Linked DNA regions of Drosophila melanogaster. The protein of the gene in region 1 interacts with the protein of each later gene in a pairwise test. Each region holds a gene or a part of one and is shown in the gene's direction. Other genes may lie near its edges.

The links.
Region 2: the proteins of e (region 1) and CG8611 interact in a two-hybrid assay, tested with the Drosophila melanogaster proteins (one large-scale study listed by BioGRID).

What each region holds. Positions count from the first base shown.
Region 1 is NT_033777.3:21,230,892-21,239,094, reverse strand, and holds the start of e (ebony), read left to right. Parts: upstream 1-1,917; 5' UTR 1,918-2,200; intron 2,201-6,061; 5' UTR 6,062-6,077; coding exon 6,078-7,185; intron 7,186-7,251; coding exon 7,252-7,419; intron 7,420-7,506; coding exon 7,507-8,203. UniProt on the Drosophila melanogaster protein: Nonribosomal peptide synthase which is required for the regulation of histamine and dopamine levels in various tissues through their condensation with beta-alanine.
Region 2 is NC_004354.4:17,419,120-17,423,935, reverse strand, and holds the start of CG8611 (uncharacterized protein), read left to right. Parts: upstream 1-1,790; 5' UTR 1,791-1,893; coding exon 1,894-1,953; intron 1,954-2,012; coding exon 2,013-4,000; intron 4,001-4,060; coding exon 4,061-4,488; intron 4,489-4,816. Other genes in the region: ENGase (Endo-beta-N-acetylglucosaminidase), read right to left, coding at 80-311; CG12994 (uncharacterized protein), read left to right, coding at 810-864, 932-1,080; CG46464 (uncharacterized protein), read left to right, coding at 1,138-1,293. UniProt on the Drosophila melanogaster protein: Probable ATP-dependent RNA helicase.

The sequences.
Region 1 (8,203 bases):
TTATCAGCAGCAGACTGGTGAGATAACATTTTGTCAGTGATTCACGTACTTAAAAACTGATATTAAACCAGCTTATGGTTGTGGCCCAATTCTCGTGTGAATCCTTTTTATTTCCATCCAGCAAAAGTCCCCCAAACTCATTAATTATGCTCAGCACGCCTTTCAGTCGCTTAAAATGCAGAATTCCAAATTAGCACAGCAATTGAACGAAGGAAGTTACTACTTTTTATTGAACGCTTAGAATAGGAAAATCCGCAATTTTTATGGTCAATCAACAGTGAATGCAACAAGCGTTGAAGTTGTTCAATTGCCGACAATTATTTTTATGAAAGCAACTTATTTTATTAGCGCTTTTAATGATTTACTTGTTCAAATAAAAATAAAATTTAATTGATTACAAATCTCCTGACTATTACACAGATTGTTATTACTATTAATAATTATTTCCATTTACAATGAAAAATCAGTTCTTAATTCTTGAACTCACAAAGTAATTGCTGAATTGGTCAGTCTGTCATATTTCTGCTATTAAAATCAAATTGATAAAAATGCAAATGGTAATGATGGCAATCGACAGCTCCAAAGTGTTAGCCCGCATCGCAATTTGGATTTACTGGCGTTGATTCTTGTACGAAACACTCATGATTCGCTAATTAAAAATCGATTAATTGGATCGAACATTAGTGTTTGATTGTGCCAGGGCTTTCTTTAAGTATTAAATCAATCAACTGATTAACCTTGGCACTGCAAACAATGATCAACTTCAGACTTTCCTACAAAGTAGTTATGAAGTCCAATTGATTCCGACTGTGCATCAAGTTCGACTGCATTCGAAGGCAGTAGATACATAGTTATTGAGTAATGATTGCACTAAAAGTCAGGGGACAAGCGCCTTAACTGCAAATTTTCACACTGACTTCGTAATGGGAAGCACAACATGACGGCTGGCATATGTTAGCAAATGCAATCCCTCTCACAAATCCACTGATATGTATGAACACCGATCTGCCCAACTGACAACTACAAATTGCAGCGACTGCGATCCTCGATCGATTTGAAATTCCAATTTTAATGCGATTTTACTTTCGCACGAGTACTAACAACCTACTACTAACAATTGCGAAGTTAATGCTACAATAGCCACTACTCTTGGCCATAAACTCGACCATTTTTAGAAGCTTTGCTAGCTATTAAATTCTAATACCAGTTCATGTGGAATAGTAAAATCCGAATAGTGCGGAAATAATATAGGCTGTGCACTTAAATCCAACATTTGCTTCAGAATTTTAAATATTTACATACCTTAATAAACTTTATCAATACTAATACATAATAATTCTCAGTTTCAGTTTCATTGTATAGCTAAGAGGGACGCACTTTTTCCTAGATTTCCCTAAAAGTACTACCATATCACTTAATTACTAGTATTGTTTGTTAGCTCCTGCTTAAAAGGAGGACTAATTTAAATCATCTTTCCACCTACGCGTAAGCAGTGGCCATCTCACCTTCCCCAATCCGCTGTGAGCTGTGTGTGTCACTCGAGGGATTTCCAAATGGTCTGGTTGGCAGAAAAGTAGTAATCAAAGTGTACAATTCGCCTGCCAATTAGTGAGTGAGGGGACGGCGGGGAATTTCATTTCATTCCATTTCATTTCCTACGTCACCGCTCGGCGGTCCGCTAAAAAATGGCGAGCCAAGTAAAGCGGTACCAATGCTAATCCGGCGTCCACACACTGAGCGCCCGCATATGGGTATGTGTGGTATGCTGCGAGCGGTAATTGCAGGGGCTGTAAGAGCAGGAACTGGTTTTTTTTTTTCAGTCATTCTTCGCCAGCCGAATGCGACTGCGCTGCCGGCGGCGACTGCGGCAGCGGCGGATCGGTCGGATATATAAGATAGTCGGGGGCTGGGATTCTGATTAGTCTGCGAGCGCCGTTTACAAGTACATAGCACGTTGAGTTTCCCGAGTGCGTTGCAAGTTTTTTGGGTGCCCCCCAAAATCAAAGTGAAACGCTAAGTGAAGTGACCAGAAAAAGAAGTTTAAAGCTGGTAGACTCACTCTCTCATAGTTGAAAATATAGAAGGAAAATCAAATTCAAGAAAAACGTGCTTAGTGTGAAACGGCCACAGATAAACATTTGAAAAAGGAAATCAAGAACCTGTTCAAAAAATCCAGTGTCAGAATTTGTTATTACCCACGGTACGTATTACGTGATTATCAAGTATTTATTTAGATTCGGCAAACTCGCTTTCCCGAAATTAATGTGCAAATTGACTTGACATGCATGCTGAGGAGCAGTTAACAAAATATTTCTCGCGTTATTTAATGGCCGAATTAAGTTCCTTCGTATATAACGAAACTTACTTCACATCCGACAGAAATTACATAAAATTCATTAAGCTGAGAATATTACAAAAAAGCAGAACGACGAAAAATGTAATTAGTTTCAAGCATAAATTAATGGATTCAACAAATTGTTTTCACCTCGCTTCACTCGACGTCGACATTTTTGTGGGCTAAGGTTTTCGTTGTCACAATGGCCAAACAATTATGACTTTAAGGAAGTCCTCAAATCGTTGTTAGTTCCAAACTAAAGTTTTTTAAGTAGCAGGATTTCTAATACTTCGATTTGAAAGGCGCGATTAGAAGACCAGTTTTTCTAACGAAATCGTTTTGAGGAAGTAAACGAGTTCTAAACTCAAGAAGGAAACTGGATTCGCCTAACGGCTCGTTCCTTGGGAATGCACTCCAAATGCAAAAGGCAACCAGAATTCGAGGCGCGGCGAGGTCAGAAGAGGCATTGCATTAGTTCAGTGATTAACGAAGCTCTTAAACTCGGACTTAAGACCTTCTTTTCTCAGAATACCAAATTGTTTTCTCAGCGTTTAGCGCCTGACTACAAACCACCATCGACATACTAAAGGCTGGCATAAGTAACCAGCAAATGACATTTAATTTGTCTTGGAGCGCTTAGTAAAACGCTTGTTATTAAGAGCGGCCAACGCGGCGTATACTTATTGACGGTAGCCAGCAGTGATGGATTTATAATTGCAATTGAGTCATTGGCCAAAGCGATCGGCTATTAATTATGTTAAGTATGTGCTAAACGAGTGTCGCATATCGTTTACAAGTGCTTTTTATGGTGCACAATTTGCATTCGCCGACTTGAACTTGGCTCGTTAATGAGCTCGCCAACTGATTCCCCCATTGACGTAAGGCACTTGGCCGAGATCGTTAGTTTTGACCGTTTGCTGGTCTTGAGTGCGGTTTTGTTCTTTTCCAAATACTCGTACAATACGAGCTTGTCATCCAATTGACTCACAATCGGAAATACTGCGGAAAACGGCAGCGGCGGTGGGGAAAACAGAGAAAAAAACCCAGCACAGACAAAAAAACAGATCACACTCACCGGGACGACCCCCAACAAAGCCGTGCAGATGCAATGGTGGGGCACCGCAGCACCGCTTAAATTAGACGCTTTTTACTCAATTAGGCAAATCAGTGCCGGCAGAAAAAAGACATAATAATACATTCAATCAATGAACAGTAGTGGACTTCAGCATAGAGCCCTGTTGTGTTTTGATTCCAACGACCGCCTCCCACTGCGGTTCGACAAATTAATTAGCCACACTCTTCGGAATTACTACCAGCGGAAACATTTGCGATACTAGATAAACCACGCGACCTTAGGCAATGTTGTTGATCCGCCAAGTGCAACAGCCAACACAGCCACTGGCAAACGGTCTTTCAACCCGGCCAATAATTATGTAAATTACAGATTACATGGCAGGCTGATAATTATGGAACGATTTTCCAAAAGCGCCAGAACCTCCAAGCCCAACTGAAAACGATCTAACGCAAATGCAACCTTGGTCGGAAAATTATTAGCAGCACTCGTCGTACTGCGGCGGTCTTAAATGCTTTTCGATTGCGCTGCTACTAGGTTTTAATGCTGGCTATTTGGTTTGTTTTCGTTGATTTAATGGCAATAGGGGCAAAAGTAATAACACTAAAGCAGCCGCATGGATTTCACCTCATCAACAGAAGCAGCGAAGGTGAACAGAACAGAAGTCGCTGGATGCATTTAATCGATGATGTGAAATGCCAAGAACCAAAGGGGCTCAAGAATGCACTCGAGTGGCGGGACCAAAACAATGGACTGCGTCAGCATTGTATGCAGATAGTATAGTACTAGCTTGCATACTATATATGCTCAAATAAATACACATGTAGTACTATACATATATAGTGGGCAAACATAGTGCAGGTTGTCTATGCAAGTGAACAAACTAATTGGACTCACACGGCGCATACGTAATGGGCGCTTGGGAAATGATTTAAGACTAGCCTTGAATTCGTTACGTATACGCCCCGTAAACCGTTGTAAATTGCTTGGCTGCCAAAAAAATGTATGCCAGTCGAGAATCAGAACCAAGCAAGTCCGAAAACCAGACCCAGAAGCCAGGCGGCGCATTTTCAGCTCTAAAGTTGCGCAATTGAAGTATAACTTGTTTCGAGCTCCCCAGCCGCGATGGTTACAACAAGCTACCACAACCATCTCCACCTCGACATCCACCCTTCACTTAAACTTCCACAACATTTCCTCCTCGGCTGGAGAAGAAGCGGAAGCAAATAAATAATTCATAGCGCACTGCCCCAAAGAAGCTTCCTGACTACCTTGCCTTTCCCAGCGCCAACGCCCGCTCAACTGCTCCACTTCCCCGATCGAAGTCATTCAACGAGGCCTCAAATCTAATGAAATCAAATTTTCAAACCAAATCAGAGATTAACATTTGCTAAGGCCAGGGGTATGGCACGGGTAATTGTCGTTCTTGGGCCTCCAGACGGCAGCTTGTCTTCATGTTTTGGATTAGAGCGCTTGACATTGGAGCCGGGCAGAATCAGATACAGGTAGTAGACCAGAAGTGGTCGGCGCAATGACATTTTTGCTGAGTTTTATAACACGCCAATGGAACTTAACGAGCATGAGCAGCACAAAGACCTCCACCAATCTTCGCCAGCGTTTTATGGCGTCACGTAAAATGGGACAGCGACTGGTGCCTCTGGCAATTGGCTAGCTCCATGCAATTAACGAGTTAGCATGCCGCATTCCGAGCGCTTGTTTAGGCTTTTGGCCAAGTCCAATGTCCGAGATACAACAGTTGAGCCAGCGTAACTCCTTCAAGATGAGGCATTTTATGGAGCTAGGTTATTCAAAACTCGAAAATTATTATTTTTATTTTTAAGGCACATTTTTTTAGGAATAAATACCTGGCAATGTAAACGTGGATTTTCAAAGCCGGAACACATCTCAATTCATAGTGTAAGCCCACATAGATTAAACTGACCGTAATTAGTAACGACAAGCAGGTGGCTATGCTAATGCATTAAGTAATATTTACTAAAGTTAAGGAGCTCTCTAGTCTCCTATTAGACAAACCTGTAATGAAAGTATGACTGATAGGTTAGGGAAAAATATGGTGCTAAGCGAATAGATAAAAATGTCGCCATAATTTAAAATAACATGTGCCTGTTGCTAAGCGTTTAGTCGCAAAGAAGAAAAACTAACTTAACTATTACTGAAAATAAAATGAATGAGTCTTTATACTCCACGCCATTTAGCGAGAAATAAGAATTCCAACTATTTCCATAAGGCTATTCTTAAGTACTGATATAAATAATAAAACATTAATAAAATCGTATTACCCTGAAACCCTTAATTATCAAGTCATTAACATGGAATATCGAATTCCAGTTTACTTGAACTTGCAATCTCTGCAGCTTAAGAGACAGCAATTTAATTGAATAAATATAGCTCAACAGAAGCCATCCGTTTAAGCCAGCTCCCATATTCATACTCATTCATTATAATAGTTTATTGTGCGAGCGCTCCATTAACACGAAGTGTTATAAATATGCATGTATGAATGAATTTAATTGCTACCGCAAGGCAGCAAGGCATTAGCCTGCATTGCATAATACGAGCTGGGAATGATGATGTAACCTAGGGATTCTCCGACTGAGATTCTAAGCCCAAAACTAACAAAGTATTCCCCACAGTTAATATATCTTCAAGATGGGTTCGCTGCCACAATTGTCGATCGTCAAGGGTCTGCAGCAAGACTTCGTGCCTAGAGCTCTGCACCGCATCTTCGAGGAGCAGCAGCTGCGGCATGCCGACAAGGTGGCTCTGATCTATCAGCCCAGCACTACGGGCCAGGGAATGGCGCCCAGTCAGAGCAGCTACCGCCAGATGAACGAGCGTGCGAACCGGGCAGCCCGCCTCCTGGTGGCCGAGACCCACGGCCGGTTCCTGCAGCCAAACAGCGATGGTGACTTCATCGTGGCTGTGTGCATGCAGCCGTCGGAGGGATTGGTCACCACACTGCTGGCCATCTGGAAGGCTGGCGGCGCGTATTTGCCCATCGATCCCAGCTTCCCGGCGAACCGCATTCACCACATACTGCTGGAGGCGAAGCCCACCTTGGTGATTCGCGACGATGACATCGACGCCGGCCGTTTCCAGGGAACTCCCACGTTATCCACCACCGAACTGTATGCCAAATCCCTCCAGCTGGCCGGCTCCAATCTGCTCTCAGAGGAGATGCTGCGCGGTGGCAACGACCACATCGCCATCGTGCTCTACACCTCGGGCAGTACGGGTGTGCCCAAGGGAGTGCGTCTGCCGCACGAGAGCATCCTCAATCGGCTCCAGTGGCAGTGGGCGACCTTTCCGTACACCGCCAACGAGGCGGTGAGCGTTTTCAAGACGGCCCTAACCTTCGTGGACTCGATTGCGGAGCTATGGGGCCCGTTAATGTGTGGCCTGGCCATTCTGGTGGTGCCCAAGGCAGTGACCAAGGATCCCCAGCGATTGGTGGCCCTGTTGGAGCGTTATAAGATCAGGCGTCTCGTACTGGTGCCCACCCTTCTGCGCTCGTTGCTCATGTATCTGAAGATGGAGGGAGGCGGAGCTGCTCAGAAACTGCTGTACAATCTCCAGATTTGGGTCTGCTCCGGAGAACCCCTATCCGTTTCCCTGGCCAGCAGCTTCTTCGACTATTTCGATGAGGGCGTGCACCGGCTGTACAACTTTTACGGATCCACGGAGGTATTGGGCGATGTCACCTACTTTGCGTGCGAGAGCAAGAAGCAACTGAGTTTGTACGATAATGTGCCCATAGGTGAGCCTTAAACTCGGGTTCTAAAATTTCCATGTCGTGTATAACCCATGATCTCTTATCCTGAAGGCATTCCACTGTCGAATACCGTGGTCTATTTGTTGGATGCCGACTATCGTCCGGTGAAGAACGGCGAGATTGGGGAGATCTTTGCTTCGGGTCTCAACTTGGCCGCTGGTTATGTTAACGGACGCGATCCGGAGAGGTTCTTGGAGAATCCTTTAGCTGTGGAGAAGAGTAAGTTGTCCATCTGATATCTTCTGAATACATTTCAAAATGCATTCAAGTTAGTTATTATTACTTAATCCGACTTTACCTCTCCAGAATACGCCCGTTTGTATCGCACTGGAGACTATGGATCCCTGAAGAACGGCAGCATCATGTACGAGGGACGCACCGACTCTCAGGTGAAGATCCGTGGACATCGCGTCGACCTGTCCGAAGTGGAGAAGAACGTGGCCGAGCTGCCGCTGGTGGATAAGGCCATTGTTCTGTGCTACCATGCTGGTCAGGTGGATCAGGCTATTCTGGCCTTCGTCAAGCTGCGCGATGATGCCCCCATGGTCACCGAGATGCAGATGGAGGCTCGTCTCAAGGACAAGCTAGCCGATTACATGACGCCGCAGGTGGTCATCCTGGAGCACGTTCCATTGCTGGTCAACGGCAAGGTGGATCGCCAGGCGCTGCTCAAAACCTATGAGACGGCCAATAACAACGAAGGTGACTCCAGTATCGTTCTGGACTTTGACTACTCGCAGGTTCCTGAGGATCTAAAGCTAACGGCACGGGATCTCTTCGAGACAGTGGGCGGCGTGATTGGACGCTCCACCAGAGCAACCCTCGCTCCGCACAGTAACTTCTATGAGCTGGGCGGCAACTCGTTGAATTCCATTTTCACGGTGACGCTGCTGCGCGAGAAGGGCTACAACATCGGCATTTCCGAATTCATTGCGGCCAAGAATCTGGGCGAGATCATCGAGAAGATGGCGGCCAACCATGATGCAGTGCAGCTAGAGGAGGA
Region 2 (4,816 bases), on another chromosome or scaffold:
AATGAAAGTTCACTTTTCCCTAAAAAACAAATAGTGCAATAGAGACTGATATATGTGTCAGAGAAAGAGATGGACTTACAGCATCTACAGGTGTTCTTGTCTTGGCACTTTTCGCGTTGCACTGTCTCTTTCTCGCATGCTACCTCCTTAAGCTCACCCCCTCCCTCTTCAGTTCTCTTCTTCTTCACGGGAACAACTTCTTCTTCTTCTTCGGTGGTAATGCCGGTGATTTTGTCATTTTCGCTCGCTTTATCATTGTTTTCCATCACTTTGCTGATGCTTGCCAGTTCCTTAGACTCCAAACTATCCATCTTACAATTTCCAACAATTAATTTTGACCTGAAACTCCACAAATAAGCAACAATCAAATCGTCGAAAACTAATATGTTTATTTACTTAAAAACAGCTGACAGCAGTGCTCTTTCTCTTTCTCAGCAGTGATGTAAAACGGGCAGAGCAGTGCTGCAAAACACTACAGCCCGCGCAAATTTGAATGGCACTCAAAACGCGACAAAATATCAACTTCAGCAATGATTTTACTCTAATTTTGTTTTCTCTTCGCTAATTTCAGGTCCTGCTGGCGCCACCGAAAGACCTTGAGAAGCGAAGAGTGCGCCTGCACACATAAATTCCAATTAAACAAGGGCAAAGAAATTGAAGAACAGAAGGAGAAACCCAATAAAATATCCCAACCAGCTGCAATAGCAACAAATAGCCCGTTGAAACTTTGCTGGCCAGCGAGCCAAGTAGCCAAACATAAATAAAGGGCGCGCACATTTATTTATTACTTGACCCGAACTTTTCGCAAAATGCCAGCGGGTCGAGTGGCTGGCAAGGCCGGCTACTCCAATCACTACTACAATGGTGGGTTCTGTATGTGGATTATTCCCCTAACATTGATTTATTGTATGTTATGTTATGTTTTCTCCAGGACGCTCCTATGTGGGCATCAACGAGGAGATCATGTGGGTAAGCATCGGCATGGGCGTGACCATAGTGCTCCTGATCACGATCGCCTTGTGCTACATTGCGCGCGAGAAGTGCCAGAAGAGGCAGCGGGAGTACTACGTGACCGCATAGTTGTTGTACGCGGCCTGCCAAACGACGGAGCAGCAGGGGCATACCCGGGATGAGGTCATGGGCATGGAGGAGGGAGCTGGCAAATCGCAGAGCGCTGTCGGGGTTCCTGAGGCCAGTCCCGGGGGAGTATCACCATCGCCAGCAGGATCACAGGCAGCCGTCACCGTCATGCATTGGTCTGTGGTCGACATCTGTGCCCGCAGCTGGGGCTGACATGCCCACATGGATGTGAAAAACGAAGGAGAGCAGACACCCACGTATGTAAACCACCAGGGCCACCCAGCCGCCAGACCACAGAACCACCAGCCCATTCCACCCAGCACCACCCACCAAAAACCACAATTACTACGGAACCCCATGCGCTTCGCTGCCCAAGGCAGTTGAATGCGTGAAACTATTTTTTTTTTTTTTTGTTGGTCGTCGTCAAATGTCGCGTGCGAAACTCGTTGTAAGCATATTATATTTAGAGAAAGTTACTTTAAAATACAAACATGTTACTGAATTTGCCAAATACGAAATATATTAATATACAATATTAAATATAACGGGCTCTTGTGTTTTGCCAAATTCAACTAAAGATGTTTAAACGATATATTGTGCAATTTGAATTTAGCGCTTATGCTTCTTTTTTTCCTCATCTGGCAGCGCTATGTGCTTTTCTATGGGTAGCACTGGCGCGCTAACAGATGTAACCATACCTTTTCGCTGTGAGTGGCAAACGAAGAAGAAGAGCCACGCACGTTTTATTCAATTCGTTATTATTTACAAAAGTTTCGCGATTCTTCTTTGGTTGCGAGCATCAATTGTGCCAAAATGGTGGAAAATATATCACTGAATGTTACTGTAAAGTCGTCGGCTCGGAAAAATCAACAGGTTAGTGGCTATGTCTATGTTATTCAAGTGGTGTTTATATATTGTATATTTGATTTCAGCAGTCGCCCGCGCTTTCGGTTAAAAAACGTGCACAGAAATCCCAGGATTTCGACTTTCAATTCAATGTGGACAAGCCCAAAGTCAAGGCAATCGTTGTGCGAAGAAGGGCGCCTCCTTCGAAAGTTGAACCTACAAATTCATCAGTTCCCAATACCACGAAATCGCCGACGCCTTCAGTTTCCTCCAGCAAATCCGCAATTTCCACTCTTTCAGCATCCCCCAAAGCAAATGCATCCAACGATGATCTTATGTTCAATGTTAGCCCAACGAAACCACCTGTTAAGAGCGTTTTAGGCGACGATTTCATGCTAAATGTGACCACAAAGCCGGTGGTTGCCCAGAAAGCCAAGCCAAAAATCACACGAGCCGAAAGATTGGGCAAGAAACAGAGGCAGGGCAAGCCACTGACGAAGCTCAGCGAAGAGCAGATCACGCGGGCGCTGAAGAGCAACAAAAAGCCAAAAAATCCAAATCAATTACCCACGCCCGGTGACCTTTTCCGCGCTCAACTGGAGGAGGAGAGGCGGCAAAAGCGTCGTGAAGAGGGAGGAGGGGATCAGGAAGCCAGCGCCGATGAGGAGGATGCGAAGAACAACTCAGGAGGGGGATCTCCGAGGGTAAAACCGAGTTCAGCCGTTAAGGAGTCCAAAAAGTCATCAGATATTGAGGATTCCGGCGAATCCGGCGAAGAATCTGCAACATCCGATGAGGAACCAGATGAATCCAGTGCACAATCTCCTGGACAAGAAAAGGAACCCAAACAAACCGCGAAGAAACCACCGAAAGCCGAGGAAACCTCGTCCACAAACCGTTTTCGCACCAAGAAGATCGGCCTCTTCGACCAAAGCGACGTGGAGGCACTCAAGCAACTGGGCCAAAGAGCGGTGAAGCCCGTCAAGGAGACCATCTTTACAGGCTCTAAAATATCCACGTTGGGACTGCATCCTCATGCTGTAAAGAACTTGGAGGATCTGCTTAGCATTCGAGAGCTAACTAGCGTGCAGCAGAAGACCATTCCCGAAGTTCTCCAGGGCAAGGATGTGCTCGTACGTTCGCAGACGGGCTCGGGAAAGACCCTGGCATATGCTCTACCCTTGGTGGAACTGTTGCAGAAACAGCAGCCACGGATACAGCGAAAGGATGGCGTGCTGGCCCTGGTGATTGTACCCACCAGGGAGCTGGTGATGCAGACATACGAACTCATCCAGAAGCTGGTCAAGCCGTACACATGGATAGTGCCCGGTTCTTTGCTGGGTGGCGAGAGCAGGAAAAGCGAAAAGGCCAGGCTAAGAAAGGGCATCAACATACTGATAGGCACACCTGGTCGTCTGGTGGATCACCTGCTGCACACGGCCTCCTTCAAGCTGACCAAACTGCAGTTCCTCATACTGGACGAAGCAGATCGCCTGCTGGAGCTGGGCTACGAACGCGATGTCAAGCAGTTGGTGGAGGCCATTGACAAGCAGCGTGCGGAGTGCGAGGACAAGGAGCTTCCCCAGCTGCAAAGGATGCTGCTGAGTGCCACTTTGACTTCGCAGGTCCAACAGCTGGCCGGTTTGACCCTCAAGAATCCCCTGTACATAGACAACAGCGACGAGGCGGCGAGTGCGGCGCTGAAGAGCAAGGATGGCTACCAAAAGGAGACCATAGAAGCCTTGCTAGAGGTGGACGACGGACTGGGCGAGTACCAGGAGGATGTGACGGGTGTGCTGAGTATTCCCGAGAACCTGCAGCTCAGCTATGTGGTGGTGCCGCCAAAACTACGTCTGGTGGCACTGTCTTCGCTGCTGGCCAAGGAAGTGGACGCCAGTCCCAAGCAGTTCAAGGCGATTGTGTTCATGAGCACCACGGAGATGGTGAACTTCCATCACGACATGCTCAACGAGGCGTTGACCAGGCGAGTTCTCGACGAGGAGGACGAGCAGGAGAAAGGTGATTCGGATGACGACGGCGACATACCTTTACTGCAGGGTCTGCGCTTCTTCAAGTGAGTTGCTTTGATGTTTTGTAATGAATTGCACCTCCTAAGTGCTTGTTTCTTCCACAGACTACATGGCTCCATGACGCAGACGGAACGGCAGGGCGTTTTTCGTGGCTTCCGCGATTGCGCCAGCTGCGTCCTGCTGGCCACCGATGTGGTGGGTCGTGGCATCGATGTTCCCGACATAAAACTGGTGGTGCAGTACACGCCGCCGCAAACCACCGCCGATTTTGTTCACCGCGTGGGTCGAACGGCTCGAGCGGGCCGAAAGGGCAGAGCCGTGCTCTTCCTGACGCCCAGCGAGGCCCAGTTCGTGCGGCATCTGGAGAAGAAGCGCATCCGCATCCAGCAGGGCGACATGTACGCCTACCTGCAGACCCTGCTGCCCAAGGACGATGAGGCCAGGACGGTGCAGGAGGCGGCCTCCAATCTGCAGCACAAGTTCCAGACGCTGCTCGAGGATGATCGCGAACTACACGACAAGTCCTGCAAAGGTAGGTTCCTCTATTACGGCTGCACTCCTGCTATAATACGTCTTTCACTTGAATTGCTTTTGAAAGCTGTGCATTTCTAATGTATCTGAGTATAGAATGTTTATCTTTTGAGTCGCTTTAACTGATTTTCCCTTCGTTAATGCTGACTGCAATCAATACCAATTAATCGTACCATTACCACAAGCAGGCTGTCGGATTTTTCGTATTCAGAATATACGGAGAACCCCTACGTATCCTGTGGCATTGGACGAGTTCCCATGGCACTTACTTTTCCAATTGCCCCAACTCCGATATCCCTGGACAAACTAGCAATTTAATCCTTTCACCA